2 linked regions of the Rhinolophus ferrumequinum genome follow. The protein of the gene in region 2 interacts with the protein of the main gene of each other region in a pairwise test. Links are inferred from orthologs where the notes say so. Each region holds a gene or a part of one and is shown on either strand. Other genes may lie near its edges. The genes, in order: BATF3 and BACH2.

Region 1 (8,926 bases), on a different chromosome or scaffold from region 2:
CTACAGACCAGAAAGATAATCAGTCTTTCCATGTGGTGGTTGAAATTTGATTTAAAAATACGGAGATAATTTTTTTCAGCCTCACAACACATTATTGGTAACGTCATGTAATTTTTCAGAATTGTCAGATTTGGAAAAACCTCCAGGTCTTTTCACATGTGAGATGTAGTATTTCAGGAAAGTTATGTTTTTTTTTTTTGCCAGTGATTCATCTTAAGTATTCTGAGAATCTATGACACTCATTAACCAATTTGTTAACCAGTTTCTTACGGATGTTCTCACTGTAGTGGCATGTTGTCCTCATGAATGTCAACATTTCAGATAAGAGAAGCAAGAATTGCAAATGGTTTTCCATTGTGTTTGTATGATCGATTCTGCCTCGTTATCGGATAATCAGACAATACAAGAGCTTGTCCATTGCTTTTGTATGACATTGATCTCTTCTGACTAAATGAATTATTGCTTCTAGCATAATCTGAAATTTGTTTTTACAGTTTGCTGATTGATGTCAGAACATTTTCTACTGATTTTAATTTATCTTTATCTCTTTTTTTAACATTTCATTAATTTTACATATTTTTTCTCTGTCTTTAAATATATAAATGAAATTAGAGATGACAAAGGATTTGTTCGCCCTTCATTTACGAACAAATCAGGAGTCTGTACTTTCTAGCTTTTACTGAAAATGTTCCAGAACGTATTTCCAAAGAGCAGCTAAAATGTCATATTCAAGCTTTATGAAATATGCCACTCCCACTAACAAAGAAAATACCCTTTACGATACATTTATAATTGCATACGCTGAATTTTTTATTTCATTCCTGGCAGGTGAGAATGCTGTTTTGACGAGACGTAAACAACTAAATCCTCTGCTTACAATTTTACATGTGTGACGATCTGAACAATTTGCAGAGATTAGCTTCTGGGGTTGTATATTTCAAACCTTCTTTCTCCTCTGCCATCCTAATAGGCAACACCAGGTCTCAGGACAATGTCCCTTGTCAGGTGAGTTAGCATGGTGGGCAGTAGGAATATCCTGCCATGCAACTAGCAATAAATGGTTCTAGATAGAAGTGACTGCGAACCATATATATATGGTGTGTGTGTATACATATACACACACACATATACGTGTATATCTGATTAACCTTCCTTTGCAAGCTCCTCCCAAATGCCCACAGCTACTTCAACACTACCAGACCTGAAGGGACTGAGAGGAAGTTGGGGTAAAAAGAGACAGTGGTCTTAGCCATTTTGGTTAAAATGTTCCACGTTTGCAAATTTTATTTCAATCTTTCCCCATGTGAACACTGCTCGGGCCTCTTCTGGGCCTTGAAAGGGGCCTGGATGTGAGGGGTCTTAAAGCTTTGCTCATTGACTTCCTGGCAAATTTGCCTCAGCCTCCAAAGCTCTCACCATCATCTCAGCCCTCTCTCCTGAATTGTTTCCATCGCCTGGTGGCCCTGCATGACCCGGCCCATTGACTGTCTGACCTCATGTCTTGGTATCCAGTGCTTCCTCACTCTCCTCCAGCCTCCTACAGCTTCTGGAATAGCCAGGCACGCTCCCAAGGGGGTCTTGCCTTTACTGTTCCTGCAGCCTGGACTTCTCCTCCCAGATAGTGGCATGGCTCCCTCTTTCACCTCCTTGTTGACCTCCCCTCACTACTCAATATTTCTTGTCCCTGCTTTATATTTCTCCAAAGAATGTATCACAATCTGAATACTGTGTTTTGTCTATTGTCTGCCTCCTCTAGAATGTGACCTCCATGAGGTGCAGGTCTTCGTTCTGTTCACTGCCATGTCCCAGTGCCGAAAACAGTGCCTGACACATGACTGATTTTTGGTAAATGCAGGGATCTCTGCCTTAACCTTTCCTTTCTCTAGCCCTACCAGAAGTCCACAGGAGCACCTTCTGAGAAAGGTCAGTGAAAGTACACTTACTGGATGGCCACTTTCCCTCAAAGAGAAGAGCAAAGGTGAAATAGTGGCAGGGTTTTTTAGCATTTGAGCAAATGGCATTTATAAAGAACCATCTTCTTGTGAAGTGAATCACCAGAGGATTTGATCACTGACCTGCACCTCCTCCTGCTGTCCTGGAAGATGTAATCCAGGGTCACTGTGGTAGTCACAGGAAATTGCCAGATCATGTAATATAATTTCTCTTCCCAGTTCAAAGGAAAAAACACAAATCAAAAGAAAAGGCAGAAGAAGGAGACATTTAAAATGTTTATTGTTGTTTATCTTTTCATTTTTCTTTCTTCTTCTGACCTAGAATAAAATGAACCAGAAAATATTACAGAAAAGCAAGAAAAACAGGCTGTTATTAGAGCATCCCACTTGGTCAGAGAAGTGTTGGCATTCTGGTGTCACAAAAGAGCTTAGTGCCAGGGAAAGCAATATCACCTGTAAATATTAAATGTTTTAAGATGCTAATGTAATACAACATTTTCCAGATAGTTTAAAAAAGACAAGTAAAAGCAATTATAATCCCTCCACCATGACAAGTAAGTTAGTACTTTGGTGTATTCTTTTCTAATTTTATTCTCATATGCATACACTTTCTCACTGTGGTAAAAAATACACAACATAAAATTTACCATCTTAACCATTTTAAAATGTATAGTACAGTAGTATTTTGCATACATTTTTATATACGTTATATGTATACTCTTTGTATGCTGCTTTTTTCCCCTCACTTTACCTCATATCAAATAAATCTTACAGGTGGCAAATTTGTCTGCATGCTTGGAATTTTAAAGATGTATAATATCCTATCACATGGCTATAACATTTTATTCAGCCATTCACCTATAATTGGACATTTATGCTGCTTACAATTTTTCACTTTTCAAAATATTATGAACTTTTAGTGCATATACTATTTTTCTCTTTACTATTTTTGATGATATTCCTAGGATAATTTTCTAGATGTTTTCTAGGGAAAACAAAGTCAAGAGTGATGACTCTTGCATGGTTCTTAAAAATTACAATAAAATTGCTTTCCAGTAGGTTTGTATCAGTTTACAATGATGCCAATGAAATATGAGAGTACCAATTTCACCATACTCTCACCGACATTTGTTACAATCTTTTATTTTGTTAATGTAATATTTTTAAAGGTTTTATTTTTCTTATATCTATTTTCCTTGATCATTTCTTCTGTTGAGAAATGCCAGTTCATGTCACTTGTGCATTTTACTTTTGGGAGGTTGTTTTGATATTTTTCTTGTTCCTTTTCATGGGCTATATACACACTTGAGATTTTAACCCTTTATCATATTTACTGTGCTCCCCCCTGAATGGGTTTTTAATTTTGGGTCATACTGTCATCTAAAGCAATTTAACATTCTTATATGGTTCAGATCTTTCCAATGTGATTTCTCCTACCACATGATATCTCAGAAAACTCTTTCCAGGGTATCTCGGGGCTTTAATAAAGAATTGAATTCTGTTTTACCTTCCTAATTTTATTTTCTATATTTAATTATTTAATCCATTCATTTTGATGTATGATAGGAAGGTCAAATTGATCTGTTCCTTAAATGCTAACTAGTTAACCAAGACTCCTCCTTTACATATATTTGAAGGAACACTTGAATAACTAAGACAGTAGTTATGAAGAGTTTTTGTGTGCTGGGGCATGGTTTCAGGCCCTGCGGGAAGCCAGGTGGAAGGGACAGCCCCAAAGGACTTAGAACGCACTTCAGCTCCTTGAGAAAAGTGGCGATAACCAGAATGAAGTGTGGGACTGCACCTAAATGTCTTTTCCTTTCAAAATCATAAACACTGGAGGAATGAAAGCACTTCTGAAAATTAAAGACCACTTGACCCAGAGGTCTTCCTATCTTGTTAGAGTCCGTGTAAGTTTCCAAGACTTAGGGCTCTCAGTTGACCTGCAATAAACTTACTGAGCATGCAGGTGTGGAGTGCTGTGCTAGGCACGTTGTGTGTGCCTGTGTGGGACGCAAAGTAATCGCTCTGGGGCGACGACGAGTTATGTAGAGTGATGCCAAGGATCAAAGGAAGATGAGAAGATAAATCTAGGCAGATAACCGAGTATAGAGATGGCTCCGTTGTGCAGCGTTGATGGTGTGGGGAAGACACTGTCACTATAAAGAGTTATGCCCACCCTCTGTCCTCCCCTGCCTCTCACCTCCACTCTCCGCTGAGTTGGTGGAAGCCCCTGCCCACACAGACAAGATTCGCCACTTTCTTTCCAATGCTGGGCCAGGCAGCCAAGTTCACACAAGCTGCGTTTCACAGTTTTTGCAAGGGTCTTAAATCCTGGTGGAGAGCCACGTGCACGAGACTCAGAATCAGAAGTGCCCGCCCTTATCCCCGTTGCTCCCCGGAGCCTGAAAACTCAAGTGACCACGTTGGGATGGCACGTGACAAGAGGAGTCAGTGCTCCCTCAGCAAGGCCCTGGGGCGCGGGTGGCCCTCACGGCGCGCTGTGGGCTCAGTGAAGCCGATGGCCCTCTTCCCTGGACTGCGCCTCCAGGGCGGGGGGCCCGAGGGCTGCGGGAGGAGTGAGAGTGGCGCCGGGTGACAGATCGCCGCGGAGAAAGTCCCCCAGGACTGTGACCCCTGCGCTGGGGGGAGGCGGGGCCAATGCTCAGGAAGATGTAGTGAAGAAACCACCAACCCCAAACCACCCACTTGTGTTTCTCACCCTGAGTTCCCCGAGAGCAGTCCTGGACCCCACAGGCTGCACTGCGCCCCCCTGACCCCCAACCTCCCCAGCGTCGCCTCCTGTGGGTGGGCTTCGAGTTCCCTCCAGGTTTCGGAACCACCACGTGACTTCCACGAAGAGCTGGGGGCCCCAGCGGAAAGCTGCGACAGGGGTGGGATTTGGGACCCCGACGTGCGGCAAGAGGAGGAAATGAGGCGGGTTGGGAGAAGGAGGGGGCGGGGCAGACTTGGGGACGTGAAGGACCGCAGGCTGGGACGGGGGTGGTGAAGCCGGGAAGACGCGCAGCGGCAGCACCAGCGCCGAGAGCGGGAAGCCCTAGGGGCGGGGCGGGGGCCTGGCGGTCTGCAGGTGCGGGCGCGAGGATGCCCGTGGCTGGAGAGCTCCGGTAGGCAGCGCCCCGCGTGCAGGGCGCGGCGGGCCGCGCGGCCGCTCCTCCGCGAGGCTGCGCGGCGGGGGGGCCGGACCCGAGGAGCACCCGGCATGTCGCAAGGGCTCCCGGCTGCCGGCAGCGTCCTACAGAGGAGCGTTGCGGCTCCTGGGAACCAGCCGCAGCCGCAGGTAGTGAACTAGAGGCTCAGGGAGGGCGGCAGGGATGCGGGGATCCGGCATCGGGGAGGGCGAGGAGGTGGGTACTGGGGTCCCGGAGTGCTGACGCTGAGTGCGGGAGTGGGGGCGCGAGAGCGGTCCAGGGGCGTACGCATGGTACCCGCGGCGTCCGGGATGGTGACCCGGCTCCTGTGTCTGGGCAGGAGAGACCCGAGGAAGCCGAAGCCTGGCTGGGTTCCGCACGGTCCACATTCCCCAGCACGCGTGGCCAGCGCTGCCCCAGGTGCCGCACTATCCGCTTGCTGCCGCCTTCGCGTGTGGCCCTTCCCGGGAGCTCCGAGTGAGGGCCAGGGCGTGGAGAGGGGAAATTCAGCCCGAAGGGGCAACTCAACCCAGGCACTCCCAATATCTACCCTCCTGCTGCCTGAATGGGGAACTCAGGACCGAACAGCCTAGGGATGCGGGGTGGGGGCCTGCAGTGCGTGGACTCCACCCCCAGCGCTGGTGGAAACCCCTCGCCTGCAGCCAGTCCTCTGCGCTGTCCCGGCAACCTTTACAACTGCGTGGTCTGGAAACTGGAGACAATGTTGCCAGCAGGTTGTGCTGTCAGAGACTTCCCACCCAGGTGCCGCAGGACTGAGTTTTTCCTCGTTATGTCCCCCTTCTCAGTTCGGTGCCTGGCATAGAGCGTCATCAGGTGATGCTAGAGCCCCACAGATCTGAGTTTGGACCTCGGTTTTGCCACACAGGCTGAGTAGCCTCGGGCACTTTGCTTAACCTCTCGGAGCCTGCGTTTTCCCACACGTAAAATGAGTACATATAATAATACCAGCCTGTCATGATTTTTGTGAGGAGTAGTTGAGATATGGTTAATAATATATGAATATCTCAACACTTTGCTCCCCTATTTCTGTCTTGATAAATGTTTCTGCTGGGTTGTCAGGTGGGGCCATATGATGATGATGATCCAGTTTAGAGTGTGGGCTCCCAGAAGGCAGGCTGCATTGTGCCCTATGACTTTCCAATTATGAAAAACAAAGAGGTACCATTTGGAGACAAGCACGGGTGGGCAGGACTCAATACAAAAGGACAGCAACCTCAACAGAGGTTATTGATGGCATATGTGTACTGGGAGCTTTAAGATAAAGTCTTGTTTTATCTCATGCCAAACCTCAAACTTTAGGCTGTGGAGAGTACTTACCAGTTTGTTCCAGGCACTATCTCCAGTGCCTGGCACATGGCAGGTACTCAGTTGACACTATTGAAAGAATAATGAATCACACTTACAATAAATGAGAAAACAAAATTCAGAGAATGTGGTCCCCAAGGCCATATTGACAGTAGAAGACTAAACCAGGAGCTGTGTTATTTCTAAAGCTAAAGTTTTGTCCTCTATACCACATTTCCCCCCTGTGGTGTTCTGGTTCTGTTTATCAAAATTACGTTTCCTCTGAAAGACTACATTGTAACACCTTGTGTCTGTTCCCTTAACTGTCTCCAGGCCTCTTTTATACATTATGCTATTTATGTACATGTCATTTACTCTTCTCCTTTTATAGCCTTGTAGTCCTTGCGTATGCTGAAAATTCTTTCCCTGCAGTAACTTGGGGAGATAGTATGTGTCTCTCTTATTTGGAATACAAGACCAGATAAAGTGATAACTGAAAATATCCATTATTTTATGTTATCAGTGTTTGCTTTAAATTAACATTAATAATTGAATAGCTTTCCTATGTTTGTATTCTACTAACCTCTTGGCTTTTGAATGCTTTAAAGGTAGTTTTCTCCACGTGCCCCTCTTGGTATCTTCTCACAGTTTTCTGGAAGGCAAATGCTACTTTCCTCTCCATGTTTTCTATAACTGAAGGAAGTGTTTTTACCATGGTAGGTGCATTTTGCTGCCTGCCTGTTTCAGGACAGATAACTCTTGGAGGATTTGACTAGATTTGGCTACATCTCATATATATATATATATATATAGCTAAGGGCTTTTAAGATACATCATGAATTTGTTTTCTGATTTGCTCTGACCTGTGAAACAAAATGTCAATCAATCATAGTCCAAATGAGCATATTGTCAGTGGTGTTCAATCATTCGCTGTGCTGGTAGAGTCATGTGGTTACAGTGAGTTATAAGTGTAGTCGCGATCTATACACAGTATCTAAAGTACCTGTTTTGTGTGTGGTGGCGTAAGACCTGGCACATGGCGAGTTGCAGATAGCAGACGGCTTCTGCCTTTTCCATTCTCAGATGAAAAGCACTGACACCACAGCTCTTCCAGGCACACGCCCTGTGGGGTAGGGGTTTATGAACGTTGGTTTGGAGCCCAACAGACCTGAGTTCCACTTCCCATTCACCCACTTACTAGCTGTAGTACCTGGAGCAAGTCCCTTAACCTCTCTGAGTTTCTTATTCCTCATCTTTTAAATGGCAGCCACTCCACATGTTTCTCAGGGTGATCGTAGGGAATAACAGCTAGGTGAACTCATGGGGAGTGCTGCTTAACAAGGGCCACTGTTAGCTACCTCGCTGATGTAGCACCAAGCGCTGCTGTGACTGCAAATAAAAGGGTGAAGACTATGAGCAATGCTGAGTGAAGAGACCAGGCAAACGGGTGAGGCGAAGGACCTCCATTCACTCCTGACCACACATTCCCCCCCAGAGCCCAGACGACGATGACAGGAAGGTCCGAAGGAGAGAAAAAAACCGAGTTGCTGCTCAGAGAAGTCGGAAGAAGCAGACCCAGAAAGCTGACAAACTCCATGAGGTGAGACTGAGGTGGGGGCAGAGCCACGTGAGGGCCCCCGGCGAGGGCCCCCTCCGTCCTTGCACTTTGATAGTGGCCCTGAGCTCACTTCCTGGTCATCACCAATTTGGCCATGTGCACGTCTAATTCTGCTGCATCCTTCCAGCCCAGCGTTATGATTCTTCGCTGACTGGCCTCTTGATTTCTCCCTCACCCACTAGTTGCGTCTCACACTCACATTTCGTTCATTATAAAACAAACCATACCAAACCTGCTCTTGATCCGATTTCCTTTCAAGCTAGTGCCCATTTCTTTTCTTTCCTTCCGTCAGTTCCCTGCTCCTTATAGAGGGATTTGCTTTCTCTATGGCCTCCGTTCCCGTGTATTCTTCAGTCCTCTGTGATTTTGTTTCTGCCCTTTCCCCACCAACACACACACACACACACACACACACACACACACACACACACAATCCTACAGAAGCTGCTCCCACTGAGTCCGCTCGTGCCCTGGCATTGCCCGAATCAGGGAACTTGTTCTAGTCTCGTCATCCTTCACCTCACTGGAACATTGGATGCCATTGACCTTCCCTTCTTGAAACCTTCTTTCAAGGTCTTTAGCTTCTAAAAGACCACATGTCCTACTTCTCCTGACCCTCTTAAAAAGCAGTCACTTTTTTTCTCAGTTTCTTTGTTAGATTTTTCTACCTCTGTTTCTTTAAATGTTGTTGACCAGGGTTTCAGACTCTTCCCTTTATCCTTCTCACCATGGAAAATTTAATCTATAAGTCTGTTCTCCCAACATCAATTATGTCAGGCAGGACCGCTGTTCTAGCCCTCACGCCATACCTCCGGTGTTTCCAAATGGGTCTGCTTGCTGCAGGCTCCTCAGATGCAACATAGTCATAATAGAGGATTGTTACTCCTGAGATGTTCTAT
Region 2 (9,380 bases):
GTTCAAGAATGATTAAGATTTCAAGGAGACAACAGCAGAAGATTAAACCAAGTGTGAGGTCCTTCTGAGCAGAGAGGGAGAGGGGGGCCTGTGTGATGGTGCAGGTCACGTGCCCGTGAAGCTGGTCCTGCTCCCCACCCCCTCAGCCAAACAGGAAGGGTATTTATTTATCTGAATATTCTGTCATTCATTCTGCGTCAAACCAGCATTTACAACAAGCCAGGCACCAAAGCCCCTGAAATCTGAGGTACAAAAACTAGGGCAGTGGAGACGGGCACAGCTAAGCTGGAGAGCCACTGGGATCGCTCTCTTCCCTTGTGAAGGCTGGATCCATACCAGGGTCACTAAGCACTACTTAATCCAAGTAAAATTAAACTGCTCCCAACAATAGATTGGCCTGAGCCCTTTTGTTGGCATCACAGGAGCCTCGATCACAAATTCTGAGGAATAGCTCGCAGCGCTAATGAGGAAGTCCTGTTGGCTGTGCAGACCGTGGTCCCAGAAGTGAAGGGGTGGCCTAGGAGAGATTTGAACATGAACCTGACCATCTGGCTCTCCCCGACTCATTTTGATCACAAAATGAATTGCAACAAATTGAAGAGCACATGGCCAGAGTTAATTGTCTCATCTGTAATCTGAACCTACTTTTAAGCAGTTATTATTACCCTCTATCAGGTGGAAACGTTTCCTACCATCACTGCAAAGTGCATTTTCCTGATGAACTGTAATGGATCATTAAATTCCATATCTGAATAGCAATACTCTGCACTTATGCAGTGCCTTTCATCCAGGGATTTCAAGGCAGTTTGCAAATAATTAAGCCCCTCACACAGCAGCCAGAGATGAGCCACTGGAAGGGACTTGCCTGAAGACACTGGGTCAAAGGCATAATTCAATAGAAAGAATAAATGGCTTCCTCCTAGGCACTAGTAATACTGAAAAGTGAATTGGGTGGGGGAGTCCTGACTCCCTCCCTCCCTTTCTGCCTTACTCCTTCCTCTCTATGGCAGATCCTCAAATGCAACAACATACAAAGAACTGAAAAGTAACTAACAGGGGTGTTCATAATTTAGCGATGAATTCAGATATACACATATATGAGGGGAATGTTTCTAGATATAATCCTGGCGTATACAATACAAACTGACATTTCAATCCACCTGCAGAATCCAAAGATACCAGAAGAATTAATTCAACACATTTATGATTACCAAATGGCAAACCTAAAGCCTTCCAAAATCCAAAATGAAAATACTGCTCTGCACAAATAATGTTCTAACAAAAACACTTTATTCCGTGGTTGTGAATTCCATTTCTGGGACCCCCCCCATTTCAATGCTTTTTAATTTTCCAGAATAGCAAATAGGATGGAAGTGGGCAATCAATGCATTCTTAAAACCAGAACACTAGAAAAACATTTCAGCCACTCAAAGTTTTGTGGTGAAATTATAAACTCCTGAAAAAAACTGAATTTATAATAGAAATGATGACAGATCTTTCACTGGAGCAGTTTGAATGCAACACTATAATTTAGCAATCTCTCTTACAGACTAAAGACTAATTCTAACAAGATGTCATTTTGACTCACGTTTATTATTACCTGCAAGAATGAAAAATGCCGTTTACTCGAGAGCTGTCGGAGAACCAGGGTGGGGCAATCTTACATTTTAAGCAAGACTTTTTCTGCCTTACCAAAATAGCCCTCTCCACCAGAAGTGGCAGCCAGCCTTTCATGCTCAGCTTCTTTCATGTCAGCCAGAGCCTTCGCAGCTCGACATTCCTTTCCTACACGTTACATTTTAATGATCTGAGAAAACCGTTATCAGAGTTTTAACATCTCTAATTTTACTCTAAATAGACAAAAGCAAAATATCTCATTTGGCATCATCTCCGCCAAGGTTCCCACCAGGCAGGAAAGGATTTTTATCTAAAGTAATTACCCTTTTTAGTAAAATACACTCAACAGATGAAATTTACACAGAGAGTGAGAGACTGCAGCACTAGACAGCGAAAGTGAAAACCCAGGAACGCCGTGGCTCGCTATCTGCCAGCGGTCCAGGAGTCTGTGGCACCCTCGTCTTTCTTGTTTCTCAGGGGCCACGGATCTCGCTGACCGCGAGCTGCAAAAGCGCGCTTTCTCCGGCCACAAACAAACCCAGCCTGACAGCGGCTGGGCCGGAACTTTCCCCAAGTTGTCAAAATCGCCTACACGTGAGAGGGAGCTGAGGATACCCCGCGTACCCACGACCCGGGAAGCCTGGGGGACGCGTCCCCCTTCACACACATACACCCGGCCCGGCCCGCTTCCTCCTACAGTCCGAGTTCCTGCAAACCCTCGGCCAGACCGAGGTCGCCGAGATGCTCACTAGAGTCCCCTCTTGCGGGCAGCTGGGGTAGTCCGTGAGCGCCGCCCGCCGCCCTCTCCAAGGGCGCTTGACTCCTGAGCACCCACCGGGTGAGAGAACTGCGAGACCCACCGCGCGCCTCCGCATGGGGAGGTAGAGAGGTGTCCTCTGGATAAACTCCTCTCCTTAGGTGGAGCTTCTGGGGCTTGGAGACTGAAGTGTGGAGAAGGAGAAGAGGATGGGTGTATGTGTGTGTTTGACTTTGATTTCATGCAGAATCTTGGGAGGAGGGATATGCAAGGTTCCCCTCTCTGCTGGCACGAGCCCCGCAGTTTGCCTTCCCAGAGACGCATTCCGATAACCCGGTCATTGGCTAGTAGGGATTCCAGCCAGCGCGCAGCCCGAGGTCGGCGCTGCAAGGCCCCAATCTGCCTCTTCCCCGGACTCTAAACTTGGGCTTTGATGTCCTGCCAGTCGCAGTGGTACCGACTCTCCTGCGGCGACTGACAGCTAAACGCAAAAGCGCGGCGGCCGGGGTCCTTGCAGCGCAGCACCGGGTGCTGACGCCGCGGTCGGGTTGGACGCGGTCTGGCCAGGCGCGGAGATCACGGTCTGGGGGCCGGGGCGCCCGGGCCTCTCCGGGCCCGGAGCCGGGCCGAGGGGTTGACAGCTGCTCCCGCTCGCGCGGACGCGCGCCTCCCTCCAGACCGCCCGCCCCACGCCTGACTTATTACCCTCCGCTCCTCCTCCCCCTACTGTTCCAAAACACTCGTCGACGCGAACAAAATACAATGCCGCCTCACCCGCGGTAAACAGCCAGGCGAGAGAGCGCACATTTGCCGCGGCGCGTCCGCCCGCCCGGCTCCCACCCCTTTCCAGTTCCTAGAAAATGCCATAAAAGCGGGCAGGGTGCTCAGCCGGCGGCTGCGCGCCGGCGATCGCGGCTCTCTTCCCGCGCCTCTTCCCCCACGCCTCCCCGCCCGCCCCGCTCACCCACTGCCCCCACAAACTTGCCCCGCCGCCCCGCCCGGCCCCGGAGCCCGGGGCGGGGGACTCACCTCACCAGAGAACTTTGCGTTCTTTTCCGCCTCCTCTTCCCTGCGTCTTCCCAGACCGCAGCCCCCTCCCGGCGGCCGGCGCGGTGGTCGGTTCGGGGGTCACCGAAAGCTCGAGGAGAGGACACGCATCACATGGCAGCTCGTTCCCAGTCCCCCGAGTGTGCCGGGAAGGGGGAGGGGAATGATCGAGGGGAGGCCGGGGAGAAAGCGAGAGCCCGGCGGCAGCGGGAGTGGGCAGGCGGATGGCGAGGGCGGCGGCGGGCGCTCACGTTAGCGCTGCTGCGATCGCAGCCCGGGCGTGCACGATCGCTGCTGCTACGGCTGCTGGTGGTGAGGCGGCGGCGGCTCGGCGCTGTTTGCTCCGCGCAGCGCAGCTCGCGCTCTCCCCGGAACGCCCACACTCTCAATCGCTACATTGTTGACATTCGGCGCTGACGTCACCCGCTCCCCATTCACAATAACTTTACGGGAGCCGGGCAGCGCACCTCCCCGGCCGCTGGGGCGCCGTACGCCTGGCGACTAGCGTAAGTCGCTCCGCGAATGGCGCTCCGGGGGCTGGGGCTGGGGCGGGGGGCGAGGGCGGGTGCGCGCGCTCAGCCGGCTCGCGGGAGGGGGCGCGCCTCACCCAGCCGCCGCCGCTGCCGCTCTCCGGGCTTTGTGCGGCCATGCGGCCTAGAGAGCCCCCTGCTCCCGGCCCAGCTGACCGCCTGACTCCGTCCGGCCTGGCCCGGGACTCGCAGGGGCCTTGAAAGGCAAGGGCTGGGGTCCAGTGGGGTGTGGGGACGTTGTGTGGTGAGGGCTGGTGTGGCACGTGGGGAGGGGGGCAGAGCCCAGGACACTACACCTAGGAAGGGGAGCCAGACCTCCAGATCTGGGATTCTTGCGTTGTCTAGCATTTCTCAGGAAGAGCAAGAAAAGATGCTCCAGGGCCCCCACAAAGCTGACCCGGCCCCCTTTTGGGTGGAGATGGGGCGAAGAAGAATAGCTTCCGACCCACTAGCGATGTTGACATTTGAATCCTTTTGGAGGGGCTCGGCCTGTCCCACTGAGTGAATCTCTAAGTCCCCACACCAGGATTTTAGAAGGGGCGCAGAAAAGCCACTCTCCCCAGCTTCAGCCCCAGTTCCTACTGGGTTCCAGCCTTTCCCCTGCCTCTCACTCTGGAGGCTGCCAGGGTGTTGCTGCTGCATTTTAAGGCCATCGTGTGGCTGTCCTGTCAGAAGGAAAGCTTGATCGTGGTTAGGATTTTACAGAAAGTAATTAGGACTTAGACTGAACGAACATTTGCTATAAAAGAAGGTTGTGTTAGAGTAGTGCTGGTGCCTGCAAATTTACCCCTGCGAAGGCCAGGAAATTCTGCCACGTTTCCCTGAACACCTATAACTTGGCCCCCTTGTGTACAGGCAGTATTCCATATTATTACATGTGGTGCTGATTTTTAATGAATATTATAAAACTTTGGCTCGCTCTACTGAGAGAAAGATCATAAATCCCCCCCTCCCCTGTAAAATGGGCACTGGCATATGCTGAGGAAGCAGTGAAGCATTGCCCTGGGAGTCTTGTGATATCAGCTAAAGTGTTGCTCTGAACCACCTTCGTTTGAGGGCAGAGTTTTAGAAGGCCCAGTTTTGAATGTCTGTCCGGAAAGCTAAGAGATGGTGGCAAGGAAGCTGAAAGGGCCAAGCTCATTTTTCTAACAGTATTGCAGAGCCTCAACCTGTATTGTAGCTCTAGAACCATGCTGGGAGATTTTCTTTGCTAGCCTCTCCAGTGTTCAGATGAAGAAAAGTCTCAGACCTAGGAGCAGTCCTAGGTCTGCTGACTTTGGGTCTGGTGCCCTTTTTGATGAAACACTCTGCTTCTGAGGTCCCTGTCTGGCCCCCTAATAAGGACAGAATACTGATCCTTGGTCTGCCCTGGTGGGGCCATTTCTTATCATCTGATGGATGGTGAGTTTCTGTATTCCTTATTCTCGTAAGTATGCGAGTGTCAATATGATAACTTAATGCATTTTAATAAGCACCACTACATGTTTTTCTCACAAGAGCCAGGCTTGAGAAAATCCCTATGAGGGTCATGTAAATTCATTTGATTTCAAGCGGGCCGTGGCTGCCCAGCTGCAAGTGGAGCTGGGCACATCATCTTCGGGTGGGGGTGGGAGTGGGGGAGCTGCTGCTGCAAGCTGACCTTGCCACCTTGCTTCTGGTCCCAGATGGATATAATAAAGGCTATGTGGTCATTTCAATTTGTCTATTTTTCAAAGACTCAAACCGGAGCTGTTTTAGTTTGAAATTCTCAAGTATGAGATAAAAGTATGGGATAGCAATTAGAGAGGAAAAAAACCGAATGTGGCTGTGATCGATTATATTATCTACTCATTCAAGGAGGTTTGATTAGAACTAGTTGACCTCTAAGGTCACATCCAATACTGCAATCAGGTGTCTCTGTGGCTGTGAATATGACAAAATCTTGCCTTAGAGGAGCTTGCAGTCTAGTAGGGAATTATTTTATTTTCAATAGTTAGAAATGGGTTATTTGGATTAAATCCTGTAAAACATACACAGGATTGTATGAAATGAGGATCGTAAGTCAAGCACTGGACATTCTTTTAACAGGATGACTGGAGAGGTGAGGCTGTGGCTGGCCTAGCACCTTCCTCGAGAATGTGCGTTGGCCATTCCCTAGGTATGTGGTGCCCCGGTGGGCACTTCAGGCATTTACAATGCGAAACAGATGCAGGCCCTTCCCTCTGTGTCTTCCAGGCAGTAACTTGAGGAGAGGTCCACTCATTTCCCAGGCCTGCAACATCCAGCCTTCTCTGATACACTTTTTCTTTTCCTACCTAATTACATGTGTGTGTTGGTCTGGAATATGGGCTTCATCTGTGGTACATTTCTAAGCAGGATCTGATTTCCAGGGACCATTACATTGTACCACAGAATTGAAGTCAGTAAACTTTATTTCTATAAATCACCTTGAGCTTATAAAATAGGAAAAATTAAAATATACCAGAAACAAAAATGAGGAAAGGAAGACAGAAGAAAGAAGGAAGCAGTTCTTGGGTCTTAGATGTTTTCATCCCTCAGCATCCTGGTACAGTATCTGATGATGTTGAAAAGATACATTGGTTTTTCTTAGGCAGAATTAGGGTTTCCAGGCGGGAATTCCCGCCAGTTCTCAGGAAATGTTTTTGGCTTTCCTGTTCCCGAATCCCGAGATACAAACTGTTTTCTGTTCTCCACAATGAATCGTTTCCACAAATACTACCGGTTGGCCGATACTACCAACCACCTGGGTTCAAAGAGCCGAGTTGCCCGATTTCCTGACCAACTTTTCTCAGAATTTGGGAATGGGAAAGTGAAAATAATTCACGAGAATGGGTGGGAATTCCCGCCCTGAAACCCTAGGCGGAATTTTAAATGTGGTACTTTGAATGAGACATAGCAGGGCAAAGTTAACATCCAATGAGAGAGAATGGAACGGGATGTTTAGATGGAGAATGCCAAAGCCAGGAGGAGTCAATTACTGAAGGAAGGTCCGTTAAGAAGAAACTGAATTCTACTCATTGGGCAAATTCCTCGGAATTACAACTAAAGTTTATTATTTGAAAACGAGATGTCTTGAAGTGTATACCTAAACCATAAAGCCTCAGTACTGCACAGGTGACATTTAGGAGAACTGAGGAAATTTGAATAGCTTAGAGTGGTGATTTGTTCAACAATTGTTGAGCCATCTATTGTGTGGCAGATGCTATTCTATAAGCTTCGAGGTAGAAGTCTCTTTCTAGTAATAAGATTGGGATGGGGAGGGAGACAGACAATGGGCTTCTCCTCTCTCTCTCTCTCTCTCTTTTTCTATATAGATAGATAGATAGATAGATAGATAGATAGATAGATAGATATGCATACCTAATATAGTATGTATAATACCTGGAAGTGAAGAGTGCTGTGAAAGCAAATAAAGTAGGTGAAGGAGCTCAGGCGTGATGGGTGGTGCCATTCTTAGGATGATTGGGTCAGGGAAGATCTCCCTGATGAGAGGACATTTGAACAGAGATGTGAATGAAGTGAGGGGCAAGCTCTGCAACTATCTTGGGAGAAAGGTTTTCAGATATTGAGAAGAGCCAGTGCAAAGGCCCAGAGGTAGAGTGGACTTGGCATGCTCCAGGTGAGACTAACAGGAGATGATGCCAGAGGGATAGCCAACAGCTTTATATTTCGGTGAAACTGGAAGACATTTATAAGGGTTTCTGCAGAGAAAGGACATGACCTGGCCTTATCTCCTGAAAGATCATTCTGTTTGCTAAGTGGAAGGGAGTACAAGAGTAGAAGCACAGGGACCAGGTAGAAGTTATTGAGCTAGGCGAAAAGAGAGGTGATGGTAATTTGGACTACATGGTAGCTATAAATGGAATCTAGATATATATTCAGACTAAACCAGACAGGACTTGCTGACTCAATTGTAGGATGTGAGAGAAAGAAGAGTCAAAGGAAATTCTGGATTCTAGCCTGAACAGCTGATTGATAGAGATTCCACTTACTGATACGGAGAAGGCTATAGGGGGAGCAGGTAAGGGGGTGGGGGGAGCTCAGGGGTTTGGGTTTGGATATAGTAAATTGCTGATGCCTATGAGACATCTCAGTGGAAAAGTTGATTAGGCAATTAAACACGGGAATCTAAACTTCAGGAGAGAAGTCCAGACTCTAAATAGAAATCTGTGTGTCATCAGCATAGAGAATCTGGGAACATAGGTGGAGAAGAGTTCTGAGGAGTGAGACCTGGGGCACTCTAACATTTAGAGGTCAGAAGATGAAGAAAATAGAGACCTGGCCAAGGTGGCTGAGAAACAGCAGCCAGTAAGAGAAGGGGAGACGGGAGTGTAGCTTTCTGGGGTCAAGTAAAAGAGAATGTTTTGAGAAGCAGAGAGTAACTGGTTGTGTCAATGCTGCTGATGGGCCATCTCATAAGTAAGATGAGGGCACATCACTGACTTTTAAATTTGGTATCTGACAGAGAGGAGTGCTAGGGACAAACCCTGGCTGGAGTGGATTTGGGGGTGGGGGGAGCAGGACGAAGGGGAGGCAATGGGTGTAGGCCACTCCTTAGAGGAGCTTTGCTGTGAAAGAGAAAATAGGGAAGTGAGCCGAGGGTCATGGGAGAAATTAGAGTTCATTGCTGGGAATAAGCCTATCAAGAGGGAAAACCGTTGATGTAAAGAGGGGGGATAACTTCTGGAGTGATGTTCTTAGTCAGAGAATGGAACTTATTTAAAGGGTGGGGCCAGTTGGTCCATAGCAGCAGGAGGTAAGTTAGGGTGGGGGTGGGCAGGGAGGCTGGTTTGTGGTGAGGGGAAATGCAGAGGGTCCTTGTCTGGGGGATTCTGTTTGCTCAGTAGACTGAGAAGCGAGCTCATCAGCTGGTGGTGGAGAAGGGTGTGGGAGTTGGAGGAGAGAGAAAAGGTGTGGACTAGTGCAAGGTGATAAAGCAGGACTGCTGGGGAGCACAGAGGAAATTTGAGGGTTACTATTAGAGTCTTTATGGGCATTCCACTGCCAAGAAGAGTCATTTCTCATTGCATAAAATCTTGCACAAGTTTTGAAAAATTATCAGTGTATTCCAAACTAGAGAGCACTGTAATTTTCCAGAGTAATTAGAATCACACAAAAATTTTACTCCTGGCTATTAATTTAGCTGGCAGCCTTTTTTATTTTAACTACTCACCTCTCTTATTTTTCCCATCTCTATCTCCCCCAAAGATCATCCCAGTTCCTAAGAAGGACTTTGGAAACAGTCCTTAAGAGGAAAGGACATTCTCATATCACTATCTATAGTGACATAGCCCAAGGGCTGTTTCTACAATAAAGGATAAATGCCACCATGATCTAAAAATTTAAGTGATATAAAATAAAGTAATTCTTCAATGTGCATGATTAAACATCTGTTGTACTGATGAGAGATGAAAAATTAGAAAACTTTG

What was found.
Region 1: the proteins of BACH2 (region 2) and BATF3 interact in binary tests that used the Homo sapiens proteins (3 or more experiments, as listed by UniProt). The link is inferred for Rhinolophus ferrumequinum from reciprocal best matches to the Homo sapiens genes BACH2 and BATF3.

The regions. Positions count from the first base shown.
Region 1 is NC_046305.1:19,655,934-19,664,859, forward strand, and holds the start of BATF3 (basic leucine zipper transcriptional factor ATF-like 3), read left to right. Parts: upstream 1-4,973; 5' UTR 4,974-5,175; coding exon 5,176-5,253; exon of another isoform or gene 5,254-5,287; coding exon of another isoform or gene 5,288-5,320; intron 5,321-7,904; coding exon 7,905-8,009; intron 8,010-8,926. UniProt on the Homo sapiens protein: AP-1 family transcription factor that controls the differentiation of CD8(+) thymic conventional dendritic cells in the immune system.
Region 2 is NC_046286.1:46,785,578-46,794,957, forward strand, and holds the start of BACH2 (transcription regulator protein BACH2), read right to left. Parts: upstream 3,882-9,380; 5' UTR 3,404-3,881; intron 1-3,403. UniProt on the Homo sapiens protein: Transcriptional regulator that acts as a repressor or activator. Binds to Maf recognition elements (MARE). Plays an important role in coordinating transcription activation and repression by MAFK.